Linked DNA regions of Caenorhabditis elegans. The protein of the gene in region 1 purifies or fractionates together with the protein of each later gene. This does not show direct contact. Each region holds a gene or a part of one and is shown on either strand. Other genes may lie near its edges.

Region 1 (7,872 bases):
AATTGATTTTGGTGAAGTTTTCAGGATCCCAGCCACGAGATGACAAGTTCGGATTGGTGCTTCTTTGGAGCATATACTGCTGTGAAGTTTTTGCTTGGACTCGGTTTTATGAAGAAGCTGAGCACTAGAGATAAGGTGATTTTTGATATTTTGGAATTACGGTATGAGTACTGAAGGGATACTGTGGACTAACTCGAGAGCATTGGGGCATTTCTTTGAAATTATTGTACGGAATATTAATATTTTAGAACTGCAGAAGTATTACTGTAGGATTACACGATTAGAGGTTTACTTTGGGAGCACTTTTCAAAAAAAAAAGCTGTAGAGACTTTTCAACTTACTATTTTTTCAGTCTCTTCTCCTCGCCAACTATTCTGCCAAGGCTACCCTGTTGTTCAGTGCAATTCGAACTATGCGAGCCAAAAACGATAAAATGATAAAGCCCGATGGAAAAGATTTTTTCGTGGAATTTTTGTCCCAGTGAGTTTTCACTTATTAATTTTAAAATTAAAAAAATTAAAATATCATTCTTCAGATGGTCCGACTTCTCACTCCACTACACAAACCGTATCAGAAGCCTGCTAGTTAACAGGCTTATCGAGCTGAACATCACTAATGAGGAGTTTATTTTGATTACAGTATTGTTCTTTTGTAATCCTGGTAATATTTAGTTCAAAAATCCGTTTTTTTTGTTGATAATTTCAAAAAATTTCCAGCTCTCGACGACCTCTCCGAAAGCGCAGTAGCCGTGCTCACAGAGCAACAAAAAGCCTATGGCTCCGCGCTCATGCAATATTGTAAGCTCTCCTATCAGCATAATGGATCGTCTCGTTTCACGGAACTTCTCTCACTGTGCACAGTTACCAACAAGTATTATGAAGACGTACAATATCTCTACTGGATTTTTCAATTTCATTTTCATGTCAAGTACAAAAATCTGGTTTCTGTTATAATTTAAATTTTTTTTACCGTTGAACTTTAATGTTTTTTCTGATCTCAAAATATTGCTTGTAATTTTTTCCACTCTTTCTCATAAAAATCATTATTAAATGTGAGTTTCTGAGCTTCAAACATAATTTCTAAAAAATTAATAAAATTTTTTTTGAACGTTGAAAAAATTGGTATTTAACAGATGGTTATTCAAAAATATTCTAGCAAAAACTGGCCTAATGATCCGAAAAATAGATCTGAATTTTTTTTCATTATTCTAGATGCACATAAACCTATTCCACCGTTGTATTTTTTGGAAAAAAAGTGAAATTTTTACCAAACTAGATCCAAAAATAAAAGATTCGGTTCTTTCTCATTATTTTTTTAATTTTCCAATGAAATTTTCCAAATAAGTTTCCAAAATGTTCACCTGCACTCAAAAATTTCATTTTTTATGTGCAAAAACAGCTTCTCTCAAATTAATTTGCCACCAATTTGCAACTTTTGAAAAAAAAATTTAAAATTAATTTAAAAATTAAAGAAATTCCAAAGTGTTACATATATAACACTTCTTTTAAATTAAATATCACTTACAAAAATTTTCAAACATTTGTCAATCCAAAATGTTACGGAAAAATGTGTGTATTTTGAGCCGGAGCTTATTGACACCCTCAAAATAGCCGTGACTAAAAATTATTATTTTCAGAAATCTATAAATCTATGTACGATCACTTTTTTCGTTGTTTGATCTTATGTCCTATCTATAAACATGTTCTTAGAACATTCTAGTTCAGCTGTCTCCCCACGACTCTTTAATTATATAAAAAGAGACCGAGGAAGTCAAAGCCTGTTAAAAAGAGCAAATCCTGCTTTATTCTTTTTTTCATTTTGCTCACTGATTTCCTTATTCAAAATGGAAGATATTGATGAGTTGCCAAGCTTGGCTATGGAATTGAGTACCAGTAATGCTCCGAAATGCACAATTTGTGGGAGAGATGCATCCTGTCATAACTATGGGGTAAATATGTTTTTACTATATTTGTTTTGTCTAAAAGCTTTTTAAACAACATATAAATTTCAGGTTCTCTCGTGCAATGCGTGCAAAATGTTCTTCCGCCGCGTTGTGATTGAGCAGTTAACCTACCACTGCAAGAAATGGAACATGTGCCTTGAAAATTGTAGCTATTTTTATTTGCACACAGTTTTCAATAAATTTATTTACAGCCGGTCAGCCAATTCTTCAATGCAAAGCGTGCCGCTTCGAAAAATGCTTGCAACTTGGGATGACGCTAGGTCAACTCGAGAAGATACAACTTCCTGACTTGATCCATCCCGATTTTAAATCGGATTCTCTAATTAAAAATGTTATGTTTTTAAACTCCACAAAACGCTTCAAATTGTGCAATTTCTACACTTCTGAGGATCCAACACTGGAAGATATGGTTCAAAGAACTAAGCGATCAAGGATGAAGCGAAAAACTGGAAAACAAGTGATATCAGTAGAGGAATGGAGTTTTCAAGCTATTTATATTGCCGTTGAAATGTTTTTGAGTTTGGATTTTATGAATTCTATTGAGAATGATGATAAGGTTGGTCTTTCTCGATTAGGTTTCTTACTGTAGGAGTACGGTAAATGCACCAGGGGTGAGCGGTACGGTAAATGCACCAGGGGTCAAAATTGTGCCTTTTTGAAATTGCTTTTCCGTTTTCTTTTGATATTTTCATAGAATTTGCTTGCTTTTCAAAATAGATGTAGGAACATTCATAGAATGCGTAAAACTTTGCCGATTGAATTTGAAATTCTGAACCTTCCAAAAAAAAGGTACAAAACCACAGTTTGCCAAAAATGTTCGCCAATGGCCGTTTTTTCGGCACATTCGAAAACTTGGCTTATTGCCGTTTTACCGATTTACCGGAAATTTTTAATCCCGGCAATTTGCCGATTTGCCTGAAATTTTCAATTCCGGCAATCTACTGGTTTGCCGATTTGCCGGAAATTTCAAAATTACATCGACAGTCATCTCAATAAAACGGAACGCAATTTATAGATTGTTCTACTTCGAAATTTCTCTTCAAAATCTATGCAACTTGATAGTGCGATGAGGTCTCTGAATGCCAAAGTTGATAGAGTGATAACGCCTGATGGTAATGAAGTTTACTCGGATTTGCTGTAAGTTGCAATTTTCTGGAATAAAAAACTATATTTTTTTCCCAGGTTGGCAATGTTCTCTATTGATTTTCTAAACAGCATACGGAGCAGTTTAGTGGTTCGCGTTGAAGAGCTCAAAGTTACCGAGCAGGAGCACGCTTTGCTAAATTTTTTGCTGTTTTGTAATCCAGGTAATTTAATTTTTCAATTTAACCCAATTCATAAGTTAATTTTTGAAAAAAGCAATTTTCAGCCATCCACCCGTTATCTGAAAGAACTCGAAGACTCCTAGCAACCCGCCAGAAGTCATATAGTTCTGCCCTTCTTCAATATTGCCTTTTAACCTACCAACAATCGGGTCCTTCTAGATTTGCGGACCTTCTGTCACTATCACATGTTATCAATAAGACATCGGAAGACGCTAACAGTCTCACAACACTTTGCCAGATGTACATGCCACAAGTTAAATTGAAAAAATTGTTGATTGATATTTGTATTAATGTATAAAGGTGTTTCTTAAGTTGTAAAATTTTTGTAAAAATCCGTTTTTTATAGTTTTTTTTTAATTAAAAAATATATAATTAAGTTTGAAAACTGCTGAAAATTGAAGCAATCTAAAATTTTGCCAAATGCCAAATTGCCGATAATTTCATAAATCATCAATTGCCGGCATTGATCATCACAACAGCAATACTGCAAATCTGCTCTATCGAACAAATGGGTATCAGAAGATTTAAAAAAAATTATATAATTTTAACAAACCTTGAAAATATTCAACCTTTTTTATATGCATGGTAAAACTGTGGCTAGCCTTTCACAAAATATTTTCCGCATATTTTTTGGTCATTTTCCAAAAGGAAAAATATTTTAAACCAAACTGCCAAAAGTGCTTGATATTAAAACCTCGGTCAGCTTTTAATATCAAGCTCCCAGCTTTCATAATTTGATCTTTTGCACTTACGTCATATTCCTTGAACATTATTGTGCAGCTGCTTTTCTCCTCATTTCCTAAATTATAAATGAGAGACCCAGAAAATGAGAGCTTGAGAAAATGAGCTTAATCTTGCTTTATTAAGTGAGCTTTAGTGAGCTAACTCTCAGTCAACATGAAAGTTTTTAAAACGTTATTGTCAATGGATAGGAGCACTTTAAAATGTTTAATTTGTGGAAGAAATGCATCTTGTCATAATTATGGGGTGAGTTTTTAAAAAAATTTCACTAATAAAATTTTTAAAACATTTGGTTTTTATTCAATTTTCAGGTGCTCACGTGCAATGCGTGCAAAATGTTCTTCCGACGCGTTGTGATTGAGCAGATAACCTACCAGTGCAGGAACTGGAAAAAATGCCTCGAAAATGGTAAGGAACTCTGAAAATATTTTTAAAAACTTCTCGAATGTATCGCCAACGACTTTCCAGCCGATCAGTTCAAACCACGATGCAAAGCTTGTCGCTTTGAAAAATGCGTGAGACTTGGGATGAAGCTTGGCCCAATAGCAATGGAAAAACTTTACAAAACGAAACCGATGAGTCATCCAGATTTTGCAACAAATGCTCTAATCCAAGAAGTTTTGTATTTAAACTACACAAAACGGTACAAATTATGCAATTTCTACACATCGGAGAATCCAACGTTGGAGGAAATGGTTCAAACAACATTCTGGTCAGGGATGAAGCGGAAGACTGAAAAACAAGAAATTTCCGTGGCAGAATGGAGTTTTCAAGCTACTTATATTGCTGTTGAGACGTTTTTAAGTTTGGAATTCATGAATTTAATTGAGAATGATGAAAAGGTTTGTGGGGTATACAAAACCGAAACGGGAGTAAAAAAACGGGAGTCGAGTCGTGGGAGTCACAAAAAAATTAGATTTGTAATTATACCACGTCACTGATTTTTTTTATTTTTTAATGGAATCTATCAAAATTCCTAAAAAAAAACATAGTTAAACAAAAAATTTCCTACCGCCTTTTTGTCGTAAAAGTCTGAAAAAAAATCGGTTTAGTATAGCTTAAGCTTAAGAACTTATAGGTTGTGCTTCTCCGAAATTTCTCCTCGAAATCAATAGTCCTTGATAGTGCAATGAGGGCTCTGAATGCAAAAGTTGATAGAGTGACAACACCAGATGGCGAGGATATTTACTCGGATATAATGTAAATTTTGCACACTTTTTTCTAGATGAACCTGTTCATTTGCTTACAGATTGTCGATGTTCTCCGCTGGATTTTTAAATAGCATACAATGCGGTTTAGTGTCTCGTGTTGCCGAGCTTAAAGTCACCGAGTTGGAGCACGCTATGCTGAGTGTCTTGCTGTTTTGTAATCCAGGTAATTAAGTATTTCAATGTAACCCAATTCATAGGTTAATTATTGAAAAAGCTATTCTCAGCCATCCACCCGTTGTCTGAAAGAACTCGAAGACTGCTAGCAACCCGGCAGAAGTCATATAGTTCTACCCTTCTTCAATATTGCCTCCTATCCTATCAACAATCGGGACCATCTAGATTTGCAGACCTTCTGTCAATATCACACGTGATCAATAAGACATCAGAAGATGCAAACAGTCTTACAACACTTTGCCAGCTGTACTTTCCAAAATCTAAACTTAAACACTTATTAATTGATACTTGTATTAATGCATGATAATTTTTTTTGGGCAAATATGTAAATAAAAATCGGAACATGTATTTACTGACTTTATTGGTTTTGATAACTGCACTTATTAATGGATAAAATACACCTGATTAGAAAGTTATTTTAAAGGTTGAATTTCTTGTCAGCTAAAGCTTTTGCTCATTAAAGAGCAAATGACTAATGCCATATGTGATTTATGTCTTTCTCAGAAGTACAAATCAGAAGCCGGAAGTGATCAGTCTGAACTTTGAGAAGTTATACGAAAGCGGATTAGATTATGAGCATATGTAAAATTTTGAGCCAGATCATTGATATTTGATACATATGAGAGAACAATTTTCTAATGTTTTAAATATTAGACACAATTCCTATTTTGCTCAGAATCAAATTGTTGCTTGTTTTTCAAAGTTTTGAATTTCCTCAAAGTTTTCTTCAATATTACTTATAATATTATTGCACTTCACTATTTTATTTTAGTTGGTTATATCTCGGTTTTTATCAAAAATAACTAACTACATACAAGTGACAGAAAAGAAGAAAACAATTTTTTGTCCATTCGCAATTTTTGAAGAATCAAAACTTATATGAAGACTGTAGGCGCAAAGCAGACGGAGGTCGCCTTGAAGGCAGCGAGGCATTTTGTTCAGGCGCCTACACGGAAGCCTTGCCTATTTCCGATATATTCGTCAAATAAAAATATATACGACAGATCCAAAACTCCCGATAGTTTGTACAACTGTTACGATTGAGATTTTAGACCGCGAATTTAGTCGAATAGTTTTTTGTTTGTACCATATTTTCTCAAATTTTAAAATCGAACTTCCAAAAAAAAAATCGTTTTTTAATCATGATCAATGGAAGATTATGCTAAAAAAACCGATGAAAATTTACAGTTCTCTGTTTTTTTTTTCACTATAAATTCCCAATTACACATCATATTACCCGACATTGTATCTTTTTCACATATTTTCTTTGGGCTCTATCTAGTATAAAACCCCCTAATACGTCTCAGCGAACTACAATTTAGTTCAGTTATTCATACAAATCTCCTTTGCTCTCTTTTTCGGATTTCGTCGATCTTTGAGCAACTAGGCACACAGACGGAAAAAGTGGCAGTGTCTCTCTCGCGGAGCACCACCACCTTTTGTCCATTTCCGATCTTTTGATCACCGCCCATTTTCCTCAAGTTCTCATTTTACTACATTCACACAATTTTGATCTTTACAACTAGACTGCAGTTCTTTCAGGCGCAATTTATAGCGCAAGTTTCAGAAATCAGAAATTTGTGATATTACATTTCTTATCTTATTACATCTCTTTTTGCTCATTTGATCTCCAAAGCTCCTCCTGTCTTAAACTAGGCCTGATATTTAAATAGAATAAATTAGTAATGTCTGCCAACCCTTCGCCTGACTCGTGTGGCTCGGACTATTTGCCGACGGATATGGAGCCGGAAACCAGTGCCGTGAGTGTGTCGGAAAAATGTGCGGTTTGTGGAAAACCGGCGTTCTGCTACAATTATGGGGTAAGTCAACTTTTTTTGAAAGTTTTCTATTTAAAATCAGCGCCTGACATCTACTGGGTCAGCCAAATACACGTATGTACGGAGAGCGGCGCAACCCGGGGAATGTCGGGCGGCAATTAAAAGTTTCGGTAACTCGATAGTTTGGCAAATTCTATTTAAGGTTTTTTAAATTATCGGCATATTTGTCACTTTGCCCGTTTTTCATTTTTGGTATTTTCCGCAATTTCCAATTTTCAAAAATTTTTTCAATTCGATAATTGTCAATTTCAAAAATTTAGCAAGAGTTCAAATATCAGTTTAAAAATTCCTAACAAAATTTTTAAAAGCCCATATATTTTTGAAAAAAAAATTCTACGCATTCTTGTTTGAACTTATTGATATTTCAACTCTCTAGACATCTCTGTCTTGCACTTCTTTTTCTGTCTGCGCTGCCGGCGGAAGTAGCAAATAATGACTGAAGCTTGTACTTCGCTCTTTTGAAAGCTGTGCGAACAGAGCACGTAATTGTAACTCTATTAGTTTTTTTTTTAATACTATTTATTGGCAAAACAAAACCGATAATTTTAAACACATTTTAAAAATAAAAACTTTTTGATCTCATTGATAAATCATTTTTAAAAGCTCAAAAATTGCAAAAT
Region 2 (8,887 bases), on another chromosome or scaffold:
GTGTACTGCACATATATATGGTTACAGTAATCTAAGAAACACCGGATTTGACGACAACTTGCAGAAATTTCGACTTTTTTCTGCAATTTGTCGTCAGATTGTGTTTACCAACAAAAAAAATCGATAATTTCACACGAAAAAAATTATCGATTTTTTCAGGACTTTACCGCCAACAATGTGTGCCGCCGTCCGTTCCACCCGTTACGACATTCGCCGTGATTTCCGTTGCCTCCATAATCAATATATTGATAAACGTCCACGAATGTGTGAATGGTTCAGTGCCACCGGCGGCGGCGGCTCCTGCGGCACCACCGAAATTTGCACATTTTGGAACAACGACGCTGGCTACCTTCCCAATACGCACCAACGCTCGAAATTCCACGTGGATTTGAGTGAATTCACTGGGAACAATTTGGGGCTCCTCGCGTTTTCAATGGCATGGCACGAGGATTTCATCGATAATAATTCTGGGGGGCCGGAAATCGTGAAAAATGTATGCAAAATTTGTGATTTTTCTCGAAAAATGATGCAGGAAAAATCGATAATTTTGCGAGCATTTTTACGCCAAAAACTAGTGGAAAATCGTGTGAATTCCATGCAAACACCGGACTTCACACGACAAATTGCGGATTTTCTGCAATTTTGCGTCAGATTCGGTGTATTTGGGTGTTTGCACAGATTCACAGGGGCTACAGTAATCCCCAAAGTTTAAAAATAAATAATTTTTGTTTCAAAATGATTCGAAAATGTGTGAAAAATGGGGCTTTTACAACAAATTTTATATGGAAATCGCGATTTTCGTACGATTTTCAATGAAAATTTTGAATTTATCGTGAATTTTCTCTACAAATCCGGAAAACGTGATTTTTCAGCCGTGAAAGTGCGATTTTTGAGCTGCGAAAAACTGCGAAAACTCCTGGTCCTGTGCAAACACATCGGTAATACACCGAACCTTACGACAGAATGCAGAATAATCCCGTTTAAACGTAGAATTTGAATTTTTCGCGTTTTGTCGTCAAAATTTTGCGCAATTTAATACTTTTTGTAGAAAAACTCCATTTTTTACCAAAAAAAAACCGTTCAAATCCAGTTTTCCGGTTACTGTAGCCATAAATCGGTGTTTACACCAAATCTGACGACAAATTGCAGAAAAAAGTCGAAATTTCTGCAAGTTGTCGTCGAATCCGGTGTTTCTTAGATTACTGTAGCCGTATATATGTGCAGTACACAGAATCTTACGACAAATTGCAGAAATGTAAAAATTTCTTGAATTTTCGGTAAGAATTGAGTTCAAAAACGTGAAAAAGTAAAGAAAATGGCTTTTTTTTTAAAGGTAAATTTCACCGAAAATTCGAATTTTCTGCGAATTGTCGTCAAATCTGGTGTTTCTTGGATTACTGTAGCGTCAGATGTGTGCAAAACACTGTATTTTACGACAAATTGCACAAAACTTGAATTTTCAGTAAAAATTGAGTTCAAAAACGTGAAAAAATCTAGAAAATTGCTTCTTTTTTTTTTGTTGATAATTTGACCGAATATTCAGATTTTTCTGCAAATTGTCGTCAAATCTGGTGTTTTTTGGATTACTGTAGCGTCAAATTTGTGCAAACACCTTTTACTTGAATTTTAGGTGGAAATTGAGATCAAATTGCATGTTTTAGGAGATTTTCAATAAAAATTTAAATTTTCTGCAGTTTGTCGTAAGATCTGGTGCACTGCAAACTTTTGGTGCTACAGTAACCTAGTCCACACTAAATCCTACGAAAAACTGCGGAGTTACGACAAAAAATATAGAAAATTTCATTTTTTTTTAAAGGTAAATTTCACCGAAAATTCGAATTTTTTGCAAATTGCTGTCAGTTTCAGTGTATTTGCGCAAGATTTTCATCCAATTTTCATTGAAAAATGCGATTTTCGCCCTGAAAAATCTCAAAATTTTTTAATTTTTTAATTTCCAGAACCGCTTCAACGCCCACATCGATGTCCCATGCTTCACCCTTTGGATGAACGGAAAAATGTGCGAAAAACTTGAAAATTCGCATGGATTATCGATTTTTCGGCCGCTCGGCACAGTGCTCGACGTCAACGAACTGAAAATCAAGATTACTGAACATTCGTCACGTTTTGTCGCAATTTTGCCGGTTTTTAATTTGAATTCCGACTGGAAAAATTGTTTTTTTCCCCTGGAAAATCAATAATTATCGATTTTTTTCTGTTGAATTCGTATTTTCTATAATTTGCCGTCGTTTTCACTCGATTTCCCACTGATTCATAATAATTTTCTTTAAAAACCCACTGAAAAATCGATTTTTCCGCTAGGGAATTAATTATTATTGATTTTTTTTTGATAGAAAATCGATTTTTATCGATTTTTCGCTAATATTTAAAAATCAATTTATCCTAATTTCTCACTGAAACCCCCCCCCCCCCTATTGCTATCATGAATTCATGATAGTTTTCTTTAAAACCCACTGAAAATCGATTTTCCGCTAGAAATTTATCGATTTTTCGCAAATTTTTCATCACTTTTTCCCGATCTCGTTGTTTTTATCCCGATTTCATGTCAAAAAAATCAATTCCGATTACAATTCCATGACCAATTCTAAATTACAGAAAAATCGATTTTTTACGAAATTTATCGATTTTTCGCTATTTTTTCATCACTTTTTCCCGATCTCGTTGTTTTTTTTTTGAATTATTGCTAAAAATCACTTCCGATTACAATTCCATGACCAATTCCGCCCAAACTATCGATTTTTTGCTTGAAAATCGATAATTTTTCAACCGATCTCTTGTTTTCTTTTTAATTATCATTAAAAATCACTTCCTCTCACAATTCCACCACCATTTCCGCCAACAAAATCCACAAAATTATCGATTTTTCCGCCGGAAAATCGATAATTCCTGTTTTTTTTGTATTTTCCCCTATTTTCTTAATTAAATTGCTTGTAGAATTGCCTAGTATCCTAGAATTCTAATAGTAACCGCTAATATTATTGATTTTTCCAAAAAAACCCTGAAATTATCGACTTTTACCTAAAAATTGTCGTTTTTCTTCTGTTTTTATTGTGTTTTTTCGCCGAAAATTGTCGCATATTGTTAATAGAATCTCATTTTCTGCCCAACATGGCGCAATTCTTTTAATTTACCCTGACTAATGTGCTTTTTCTCACTTTCTACACCATTTTTGTGAACTTTTATCGATTTTTTTTTCTCGTGATTTTCCCCCATATATCATTGACCTACTTCACACATATGCAACTTCTGAACACTGGAATAAATTTATTAATGTTTCATTACTAAAATCTTTTGAAATTGCGAATTAAATTGATTTAAATCGGGGTTTTGCCGCACTTTCTGCGATATATTGCAATTTTTCGGTTTGAACTCCCGCGCATTTGAATTAACGACACTCCGATATCCCGCCAGCGCGTGTTGTTTATCGCGTTTTGTTTTTTGAATAAAATTGTTTATTTTTGAGCCAAAATCTTTGATTTCAACGGTTTTTTCGTGATTTTTTGTTAGAATAACTGAAAATTTAGAGATTTCAAGCAAAAAACTATGCCAGAACCAACGGAATTGTCTGGAATCATCTCAAAACTTGAGGAAACCTACGCATTCGCCACCACCAGTCTTGGAAACGTATTTATACCGATTGCAGCGGCCAGAACCAAGAACGAGACGCTTTTAAGCTTGCTCGACAAGTTTTCGTGAGTTTTTTTTGCTGGAAAAGTTACATAAATCAATTAAAAATCAAAGTTTTGGGTGAAAATTCAAGTTTTTTCGAACTTTTCCCGGAAAAAATCGATAAAGTGTTTCAGATACAACGAAACTGTGCAAATGGTGGTTATTAAACAGATAGGACGCAAAAATAACTGCAATTATCAGGCAAAACTCGTGAAAAAGCTCGAAGGCTCAATGTTGGCGGCCGCCAGAATTTCCAATGAAGTTTTCGGGCCATTGGTGGGTTTTTAGGGTTAAAAACTTGGTTTTAAGTGAAAAAATAGTCAGAAAATTGAATTTTCCATAGTTTTAAAGCTAAAAAATCTCGAAAATCCCGTATTTCCAGATCGCCCAGGTGACCAGCACCACGGATAGCTACGCGTTTGCTCAAAACGACGAAAAAGGCACAATTTTCGTGCCGGGAGACGCTTTTGACGCGAAAATCGTGAAAAATGTGGGCCGATACGTGAATACCAGCAATCAACTGGTGCTAAAAATCAAGGAGCAAATCGAACGAAAAGGGTGTAAATGGGTCGCTGTTGAGGCTGTAAAACACTTTGTTGTCGAGGAAAATGAGGAGAAAGAGGTGGAAAATCGAGAAAAATCGATAAATTTTGATCTAGAGCTCGGAAAACTGCTGAAAAAGTGAATTTAGAGCAGAAAATTGGAGTTTTGAGCCGCCGAATGTCCAATGTTCAAGTAAAAAAATGTGAATTTAGAGCTAAAAAATTTAAAAAATGGCAAATTTCGACTAAAAATATAACTTTTCTCCCGAAAAAACGAATTTTTATGACAAAGTTGAGCCATTTTGGTATTTTTGCCCAAATTTCAGCTAACAACTTAAAAATGATCTAAAATATCCAAATTTTTGTATAAAAACCTAAAAGTTCTCCAAAAAGTTCAATTTTTTGCCCAAATTTCCGCTAAAACCTGGAAAATACTCTAAAATACCCAAATTTTTGTATAAGAACCTAAAAATTGCGAAAAAATATCCAAAAAAAAAAAAAGACTTTTTGTCCAATTTTCTGTTCAAAACACGGAAAAACTATCCAAATTGCACTAATTATACAAAAATCTGTTTTTTTTGGCCAAAAAAAATTTTTTTTCGGCTAAAAACTCGGAAAATTAATTAAAAATGCCCAAATTTTTGCCTAAAAACCGAAACATTGCAAAAAATTCACAAAAAACTCAATTTTCGCCCAATTTTCGAGCTGAAAACACGAAAAATGCTCAAATTTTTCCCCCAAAATATGCCGAAAATCAATAAAAATTTCAATTTTTTTCAGGCGGTAGCAACTGGAGAAGTAAAAATTTCGTGGGGAGTCGTTGTGGAAGTTGATGAAATGGAAGCACATGTATTAGATGAAAAGAATGGAATACTTGTTACGTTAGTAATGTTAAAAACTAAAAAAAATCTTAAAAATCTTAATTTTATAACTTTCTGTAAAAAAAACGAAAAAAAAAAATCGAATTTTTAGATAAAAACTCTGTAAAATCGAGAAAAATTGACTGTTTCGGGCTTATTTTCAGACAGAAATTAGAAATATAAAAGCTAATTTCACAGAAACATAAACTTTCACTAAAAATTGGCTTTTTACAAAATTTCTTCAGTGAAAATCTGGAAATTTTACCAGAAAAATTCCGGAAAAATGTCAAAATGTTGACCATAAATCGAAATTTGTACAAATTTTCGGAGAAAATTGCATTTGATCATCAAATTTCATCAGTTTTTACATTTTTTTCAGTGAATATCATACAATTTCACCAAAATATTGGAAAAAAATCGGGAAATTCACATTTTCTATGTGGAAAATATAAGAAACCAGCCGTGGACCGCACCTACGGCGCGGCCCCCGACTTTTTGAGAAAACACATTAGATATACGGTGTCTATCGCGGACCTCGATCGATGTCTGCTGCGCACTTAGCATAAGGTTTCCCAAAATTTCGTTGCTCTGATCAGAGATCAAACTACATAAGGACAGAAGGACACGCGCTTTATATATAGTAAATGATATAGGAAAAATCCTGGAATTTTCCAGATTTTTCTGTGAAATTCTAGAATATTTTTGGTTGAAAATGTCAAAAATCCAGAAAATTTTCAGAAAATTTCCCTGTATATTGTCTGTGACTTGTGTGTTTCTCTATCCGAATTGATGGTTTGAATAGTGGTATTCTCGGCTGAAATATGCAATAAATACCGTATTCCAACCAACAATTTGTGCAATAGAGCACATTTGTCACTGGAGATGCAGAAGCTATGCCCAAATTTTCATTTAGCGCGGAAATTTGGCTGTTTTCGGGTGTAAAGTAGAAAATTTGGAAATTTCGACATTAAAATTTATTATAAAATTTGAAAAAAAATCCATAAAAATCCCTTTTTTCTGACAATTTTCTGTTAAAAATTGGTAGTTTTTTGGGTTTTTTTAAATCCCAGTTTCCGAGGAAAGCTATAAATTTGGGTACGGTAACTCGGAATTTATGATGTTTTTTTTTAAAGCTGTAAAAACTGAAAAATTCTGCTCAATTTCCAATTTTTGTTGAAAACCTAGTGGTTTCTTGGATTGTTCTAATTTTTTATCAAAATCCTGCTGAAAATTAGAATTTTTAGCTTTTCCGCTTGTTTTTCGGAATTTTTTGTGGCTTTTTCCAGGTAAAAAATCCGTTTTTTACGGAAAAAACGGCAAATTTTTGAATTTTTCGATGTTTTTCCCATGAAAATCGGAAAATTTGTATTTTTTGTTTATTTTTAAAGGAAATTCGAATTTTTTTTCGTGGCGAGACCCAACCTTTTCAGACTTTGCGCAAAGTAGGTCAAAATTATACGGCAACTTGGCAACTGAATTTCCCAATACTGTCTGTGACTTGTGTGTTTCTCTATCCGAATTGATGGTTTGAATAGTGGTATTCTCGGCTGAAATATGCAATAAATACCGTATTCCAACCAACAATTCGGTGCAATAGAGCACATTTGTCACCGGGGATGCGGAAGCTATGCCCAAATTTTCATTTTTCAGGAAAAACACCTTTTAAAAGCCAAAATTGGGCCAAATTTCATAAATTTTTGGCCAAAAAACTTAAAATTTTCACCAAAAATCGCCTTTTTTTTTGCAGATGCCCAATTCTAAAATACACTGGCGGAGCAGATGATAGTCCTTCGGCTCGAGCACTAAATGACGTCATATCAATCGATAATCACGTTATGTTCAAAGCTATGCTAATCAATGGAAGATATGACGCTGTTGAATGGAAAAAAATTGCCGATTCTCATGAACTTGTGATGCCGAAAAAAGTGAACACGTCGGATTCGTATGCACAGACTCCTGCGTGTCTTGTGGTACGGGGTTTTGAGTGGAAATTTGGGATTTTCCGCTAAAAATGAGCTGAGAAAATCGGAAATTTTAACCCTAAATTGCCTGGAAATTCGGAATTTTGCGTTAAAAAAAGTGAAAAAAAAACATTCAATTTTAGATCCAAAAAGTTTATTTTGGAAGCTCCCACTTTGGCTGAAATTTTGATATTTCTGGTTAAATTTTACCGGTTTTATGCAGAATTTTTTATAATTTTCCACTTTAATTGGCATTTTAGAGCCTTAATTTTTACTAAAAATGCGCTAAAAATTTGATATTTTACTAACTTTTGTTAGAAATGTGAATATTTTATTAAAAAGGTTGATTTTTATGTAAATTAAATTATTTTGTCAACAAAAATTAGATAAAAATTCGGAAAACCCATTTTCCATACCGTTTTCAGATATTTCTGGCCTCCTTTGCAAAAAAATGAAAAATTGGAAATTTTCAGGAATTAAAAAAAATTCAAAATTTTTCAAATATCTAAACAAATTAGGATACTTTGACCGATTTTGCTACGCTTAGAAAAAGTTTTAGTCCATTTTCTAAATTTAAATCAATTTTCTGACGACATTTTTCAAAAAATTTGAAAAATTTCACACATTTTGACTAGTTTTTTTTCCAAAAATGTAAATTTTTTTTAAACTTTAAAAAAGTTTTTTAAATTAAAAAGCTGTAAAAACCGAAAAATTCTACCTAATTTCCAATTTTTTGTTGAAAACCTAGGATTAGCTTGGATTTTGCTAATTTTTCTCAAAATTGTGTTGAAAATCTGAATTTCTAAGCTTATCCGTTTTTTTTTCTAACATTTTCGGCGTTTTTCATCCCAGTTACCGAGGAATGCTATAAATTTTGAGTACGGCAACTCGGCAACTGAACTGAATTTCCCTGTATATTGTCTGTGACTTGTGTGTTTCTCTATCCGAATTGATGGTTTGAATAGTGGTATTCTCGGCTGAAACATGCAATAAATACCGTATTCCAACCAACAATTTGTGCAATAGAGCACATTTGTCACTGGAGATGCGGAAGCTATGCCCAAATTTTCAATTTTTCACGTGAAAACTTTGTCAAAATCACTAAATTTTCGCCTAAAAACCTGAAATATTCAGACAATCATGTTCCGAAAACTGCTCCAAAATCATCCAGAAGATATGGATCGATACTCATCAATATTGGATCAATTGCCACCGTCAGCACTTCCAGATTGCTATTTTTCCCGTGAAAATTGCACGGAATAATGGGATTTTTTTTTTGGTTTTTTTTTCGGTTTTATTCTCGAAAACGTGTTTGTCAATACTAATTATTGGGTTTTTTTTTCACAATTTTGCACTTATTTTCCGCACAAAATCGGTTAAAATTCCGGCTTTTTTTTACCTATTTTCACCCATTTTTTACCCCAAAAAACCGGAAAATCCATAGAAAATGTGCGATCGAGACGATTGTGCAAGTATCGCGAGCCGCTGCACCGGAGAAACTATCATTTGTGCATTTGTGGAATCAATCACACCGCCCAAGATTCGAGATAAGACGGGTAGGTTTTTTTTTTGCGGAAAAACTGCAAAATCCACTTAATTATCGATTTTTGGTGCGGAAAACGCCGAAAAATTGTCATTTTTGGGTTACTGTAGCCCCAAACATCACACCAATGCATCGGATCTTACGACAAAATGCAGAAAAAATTCGATTATTACGTAGAACCGCGTTTTTCCGCATTTTGTCGTAAAATCCGGTGCATTGATGCGGTTTTTGCACGGATTTAGGGATACGGTAACCACAAATTCGATTTTTCATTAAAAAATGACATAGTGCTAA
Region 3 (5,858 bases), on another chromosome or scaffold:
AGTCAAAGCAAAATTCTCAAACTGGTGGAATCGAAAAGCAACCGCACAAGAAGGTGTTGAAGAGGCAGAGGAGCCATCTGAGTGATTTATTAAAGTCAAATATGTATAATGGGCATTTTATCATCTTTTAAAGTTTTTTATTGTAATTAGAATTTCTGTCATATTTCCTTTGTTTTGTTTGTGTTCCATTCAATTTGATCTCTTAATGATCGAATCGTTTTCATCCGGTTTATGTAAGTCTAATCAGTTTGTTTTTCATGTAATCAATATAACTATGCATTTGTTTAAACTCAAAAATTGGTTTAATATACGGGTGAAGATGAACATCCTTTTATATATTACTTTCTTCTAATGATAGAATTGTGATTTATGATCTGTGACCATTAATGTTTTGATTTTAAATACGTAGACAAGTTGAAGAGGCAAACAAATAACGTTTAATATTTAGTTGAAGAGAAAACTTTTTTTTCAAAAACTCGGATAATATTTTTTCCAGTTTTCTTATTCACATTTTAAAAGCACAATTTACAATTGATAATGTTAAAATTCAACAAACTTTTCAAACTTCCCAGGAACCCCCTACAAACTTTGTTTTCCTGTGACGTCACTAAGCTACCTTTGCACTGTAGACGTTCAGATTTGTAGTCTCTCCTCTTTTTGTCCCTCGTGGGAGACACATGTTCGTTGTACTTTGCCCTTTTGTCTACTCCTCTTATCTCTCCTTTCCTCTACACGTACGCAAAGATACACTTTACCCTGATTTTTTGCTTTTCTTTTCCGAAAATCACAACAATTATGTATTTTGTTTTCATTTGAGGAATACGTAGAAGAAAGTTATAAATTTTAGCTAAAATATTTAGAACTACAATTTTGTGACCCCAAAAATAATTCGAAAAATGTATCTTTGATAGTAAATCACCCATTTATTGTGGCTGGCTTGGCTGGTTGTTGACTTGTTTGTTTTGTCTGCAGTTGGTCAATCGATTTGTTTTTTCCCATCGTGTCTAAATATATTTTTAGTTGTTTCTTTTTTCAATTTTATGCGCCCAAAGATACAGTCACCGGTCTCGACGCGACAAAATTTTGCTAAATGAGAAAAGGCGTGCGTCTTTAATGAGTACTGTAGTTTCAAACATAAATAGGTTGCTACATAAATTCTACCGGTTTATCATTGTTTTTTTTCCAGAATTACTAAAATTTAAGTATTTATATCAACGGATATATTTGAGTCTTCTGTAAATAAGCTTATTTATTAATTATTAATTATTATTATTATTTTCGAAAATCTATGAAAAATAGAGTAAAATTCCACAGAAAATTTGAAATTATAGTATTCTTTAAAGACGCACACCTTTTTGTATTTAACAGTAACCAGAATGCATATATTTTGCGAAAAAAGCAAATACATTTTTCATTGAAAATTCACGTAATTTTTTAAAATTAAAATGCAACAATTATTTCTTCAATTATCGATTTCTTTCTCATTTCTCAATTTCTGTGACTTCAGAATGCGGATAAGTGGAGTCACATTATTCCGCGTCTCATCACAACTTCGCAACGTCGTCAACGGACAATGGACGACTACTCACTATACTGTAAAGGATCGATCCACTGATCCACGGTGGAAGGATGTTGATTTGGCACGAGAAAGTGATGTTTATGATGTTGTCATTGTTGGAGGAGGTCCATCTGGTTTATCAGCAGCCATTCGATTGAGACAATTGGCTGAAAAAGCTCAGAAAGGTAAAATCTAAACAAATACATTTTAGAGTAAACATATTTTTTTTAATTTCAGAACTTCGTGTCTGTGTTGTCGAAAAGGCATCTGTTATTGGAGGGCACACTCTCTCAGGAGCTGTAATTGAAACTCGAGCTCTTGATGAACTTATTCCAAATTGGAAAGAGCTGGGAGCTCCAGTTTACCAACAAGTTACCTCTGAATCTATCGCTATTCTCACTGAATCTGGTCGAATTCCAGTTCCAGTGCTACCTGGAGTTCCACTTGCAAATCACGGAAACTATATTGTTCGTCTTGGAAAGGTCGTTCAATGGCTCGGCGAGCAGGCTGAAGCAGCTGGAGTCGAAGTTTGGCCAGAAATCGCTGCATCTGAAGTGCTCTACAATGAAGATGGAAGTGTGAAGGGAATTGCCACAAGTGACGTTGGAATTGGAAAGGATGGAGCACCGAAAGATGGATTTGCTCGTGGTATGGAATTCCACGCGAAATGCACAATTTTCGCTGAAGGATGTAGAGGACATTTGAGCAAGCAAGTTCTCGATAAATTTGATTTGAGAACACATGCAATGACTTATGGAATTGGACTCAAAGAACTTTGGGAAATTGATCCAGCAAAGCATAGACCTGGTTATGTTGAGCATACTATGGGATGGCCATTGGTAAGTTTCTGAAGATCTAAAAAATTAAGAAAAATTGAAAAATCTAGTAAAATGTGAGCTTTTTTTTTGAGTGTTTCAGATTAAAAGATATATTCTAGAATTTAATCTCTAAAAAATGATTTTTCAGAATGTTGATCAATACGGAGGATCCTTCTTGTACCATATCGAGGATCAAGGACAACCACTTGTTTCCGTTGGTTTCGTTGTTGCTCTTGATTACGCGAATCCAAATCTCAATCCATACAAAGAATTCCAAAAATACAAAACTCATCCATCGATTTCTAAACAATTGGAAGGAGGAAAACGAATTGGGTACGGAGCACGAGCTCTCAATGAAGGAGGATTCCAAAGTATCCCGAAGCTTCATTTCCCCGGAGGATGTCTTGTTGGATGCTCAGCTGGTTTCTTGAATGTCGCTAAACTGAAGGGAACTCATAATGCAATGAAAAGTGGAATGGTGGCTGCTGAATCAATTTTCGAGGATATTCAACAAAAGGGAGAGGATGTGCAAACGATTGATCCAGCTACATATGACAAGAATATTCGTGATACTTATGTTGTTAAAGAGCTCAAAGCAACCAGAAATATTCGTCCATCATTCAATACTTCATTGGGATACATTGGAGGACTGATCTATTCTGGAATATTCTATGTTTTCGGTCGAGGAATTGAACCATGGACTCTTGGACACGGAAAGAAGGATAATGAGAAGCTCATTCCAGTGAAGGATGCAAAAGAAATCGATTACCCAAAACCAGATGGAAAGCTAACTTTTGATCTTCTTACATCTGTATCTCTTACTGGAACCAACCATACAGAAGATCAACCTGCTCATTTGACATTGAAAAATGATCAAGTTCCACTTGATGTGAATTTGGCAGTATATGGTGGCCCGGAGGCTAGATTCTGTCCAGCTGGTGAGATTTTAATACAAATTTGACTTTTAAAAACACATAAATAACTTTTTTTTCCAGGAGTCTATGAATTCGTCCCATCCGAAGCTGATGAATCAAAGAAGCGTCTCCAAATCAATGCTCAAAATTGCATTCACTGCAAGACATGCGACATCAAGGATCCTCAACAAAACATTAACTGGGTTACACCAGAAGGAGGTGGTGGCCCAAAATACGAGGGAATGTGAATCCTTTAGCTTCTCGTTTATGTTTGTGTATAATTTTTGTACTTATTTATTCGCCACTATCGACTCGTAGATTATGTATTTCTGTTCTTCAACGGTTTCTCTCAATTTTCTCTCATTTTCGTGTTCCCCATCTTTTGTAATGCCATTACATTTTTATCCAAACCAAATGAATAGATTTCTGATTAGTGTGTACTTGAACGGAAAAGCTTCAATATTGCCATAATTGTGGTACATATATACATTCATCCCACTACAGTATCCTTTTCTGAAAAGATTGCAAAGTGTTGTATAGAAGAAGAGACGCAGATAATCAAACAAGACGTCTGCGCTCGTGTATGTTTGTCTCTGGACAGACATACACACAGAAACACCGACAATGAAGATATGAAGACACACAGACACACAGAAAGCCGTCATCGATTCTCCTGTTTTCTTTGAGCCTTATTTATATTTTTCTTATTACTCCGACGCGTAATTTTGAGATTTTTGCGCCAAAAACGGTACCCAGTCTCGACATGATATTTTTTTTAATGTGATAATTTCAAAACGGTGCACACCTTTGGAGAGTACTTTAATTACAAACTTTTGTAGTTGCGGAATGTTCATCGATTTTCCATCGTATTCCGATGAAAAACATCCTTAACTATTGAAAACTCAAAAAAAAACACGAATTTTAACAGAACGTAAGAAAAGTATGAAAAATCATGAACGGTTCCACACCAACTAGATTAAAAAATTACAGTACTCCTTGAAGGCGCACAAGTTTTTCTCATTTAACTAAAACATGTCGTGTCGAGAATCGGCACCGTATTCTTGGCGCAGGAGTCGCAAAACCTCTGTCTGTGTATTTAGTAATGTAGATTTTCAAGTTTTCTGAAAAATTAATGTATATTTGTAAGTTCAGAATGAGTAGAAAAGATTGCAAAAATATTGTCGAAGACGAAGAAGAAGATGAGAAGAGTAATGGGAATAAATCTGAAAGTCCACAAAATGCTGGCCTAGAAGAAACAATTCAGAATTTTATAGCAACATTTTTACCTGGTTCAAGTGATGAGTAAGAGTAGTAAATAGCATATTAAAATTTTTTTTAAGTTTCAGACCTCATATTACGGATATTCCAAGTTCATCCGAACCTCAAGAAGGATCTAGAGAATGCAGACTCTCCAAAGAAGCACATCGGAAACGTCTGAGAAGAGCTCGTGAAACATCAGAGGAGACTCACACACGTCTTGCCAAGGCTGCAGACTATAAAAGGAAGAGATGCTCAGAAGAGACAGAAGAAGAATATAGAGAACGATTGAAAAGGCAAGCTGAAAGAAAAAAAATGGAAAGAATGCAAGAGTCGGAAGATCAGGCAAATAATCGAAGAATAAAGGCTGCAGAGCATCGACGCCAGTATCTGCAAAGGGAGTCATTCGAAAAAGCTCAGGAAAGAAGGAATAAGGATGCGGAACGGAGAAGGAAGAGTCTCCTGGCTGAAACTCCAGAAGAAGCTGAATTGCGTAGAGCCAAGAATGCTCAGAGACGTCGGGATGCTATTAAGAATGAAACACCAGAGGAAGCTGAAAATCGGCGACAGCGTGATGCAGCAAGAAGACGGCAATATTTGCAGACGGAGACTTCAGAGCAAAAATCAGCTAGGAAAATCCAAGATGCTGCACGAAAACGTCAAAATCGAATTTTGAAGCAAGCAGGGCAAAGTGAAGAATCACTTGCAGTCATCACGGGATCATTGAGCGATGGAACTCTTTCGGGTCTATAAAAATTAATTGAAAATTTTTTTAATAAATAAGTAGTTTGTTGTTTGACCTTTTGCTTTTAAAACCGATAAAATCGTATTAATTTTTTGAATCAACGGTCCGCTCATTTCCACCTATCAGTCTTTAAATTCTGTTGAATCGCAATAAAAACGGCAAGTTTCATCTCTTGTTTGCAACAAAACAGAGAAACTGATAAGACTGATAACGATCAGTGGTCTGATCGATAGTCGATTTCTGTTTTAACACATTTATTCTGAAGTTCTAGAATTTTATTTGTTATTTTAATATTTTCAGGCACAAAATGTTTGCAAGGATAGTGAGCAGAAGAGCAGCAACTGGATTATTTGCCGGAGCCAGCTCCCAGGTTTGTGTGTGCACTTTCGCGTGGGATCAGTTGTAAAATACGCATGGCGCGAATATTTGAATTTGTAAAAATTTTGCCCGCTCAAAGTTGCAATTTGCTTTTCTCTCCCCATTTTCATTCCCAAAACGGCACCGTCCATGGTTCACTCGTTGTTTCTGATCAGAAAGTGATCTTCATCATAATATCTTGCCATTTT

What was found.
Region 2: the proteins of nhr-188 (region 1) and Y104H12D.2 fractionate together in Caenorhabditis elegans (co-fractionation; one large-scale study listed by BioGRID). This does not show direct contact.
Region 3: the proteins of nhr-188 (region 1) and C05D11.13 fractionate together in Caenorhabditis elegans (co-fractionation; one large-scale study listed by BioGRID). This does not show direct contact.

The regions. Positions count from the first base shown.
Region 1 is NC_003283.11:3,854,175-3,862,046, reverse strand, and holds nhr-188 (Nuclear Hormone Receptor family), read left to right. Parts: upstream 1-4,185; coding exon 4,186-4,275; intron 4,276-4,340; coding exon 4,341-4,437; intron 4,438-4,497; coding exon 4,498-4,871; intron 4,872-5,107; coding exon 5,108-5,229; intron 5,230-5,278; coding exon 5,279-5,403; intron 5,404-5,464; coding exon 5,465-5,718; 3' UTR 5,719-5,751; downstream 5,752-7,872. Other genes in the region: nhr-187 (Nuclear Hormone Receptor family), read left to right, coding at 25-135, 353-480, 536-660, 717-958; nhr-189 (Nuclear Hormone Receptor family), read left to right, coding at 1,844-1,948, 2,012-2,108, 2,155-2,519, 2,979-3,100, 3,146-3,270, 3,333-3,586; nhr-186 (Nuclear Hormone Receptor family), read left to right, coding at 7,100-7,234.
Region 2 is NC_003282.8:1,174,478-1,183,364, forward strand, and holds Y104H12D.2 (DUF7930 domain-containing protein), read left to right. Parts: upstream 1-3,544; 5' UTR 3,545-3,561; coding exon 3,562-3,710; intron 3,711-3,821; coding exon 3,822-3,963; intron 3,964-4,069; coding exon 4,070-4,309; intron 4,310-5,009; coding exon 5,010-5,110; intron 5,111-6,836; coding exon 6,837-7,059; intron 7,060-8,114; exon of another isoform or gene 8,115-8,184; coding exon 8,185-8,313; 3' UTR 8,314-8,387; downstream 8,388-8,887. Other genes in the region: cec-2 (Chromo domain-containing protein), read left to right, coding at 160-493, 1,959-2,198; rmif-2 (RecQ-mediated genome instability protein 2 homolog), read left to right, coding at 8,498-8,606.
Region 3 is NC_003281.10:6,442,557-6,448,414, reverse strand, and holds C05D11.13 (Vicilin-like seed storage protein At2g18540), read left to right. Parts: upstream 1-3,828; 5' UTR 3,829-4,009; intron 4,010-4,442; 5' UTR 4,443-4,443; coding exon 4,444-4,592; intron 4,593-4,630; coding exon 4,631-5,300; 3' UTR 5,301-5,358; downstream 5,359-5,858. Other genes in the region: T26A5.6 (UDENN domain-containing protein), read left to right, coding at 1-85; let-721 (Electron transfer flavoprotein-ubiquinone oxidoreductase, mitochondrial), read left to right, coding at 1,509-1,743, 1,796-2,397, 2,525-3,314, 3,372-3,538; mel-32 (Serine hydroxymethyltransferase), read left to right, coding at 5,600-5,662.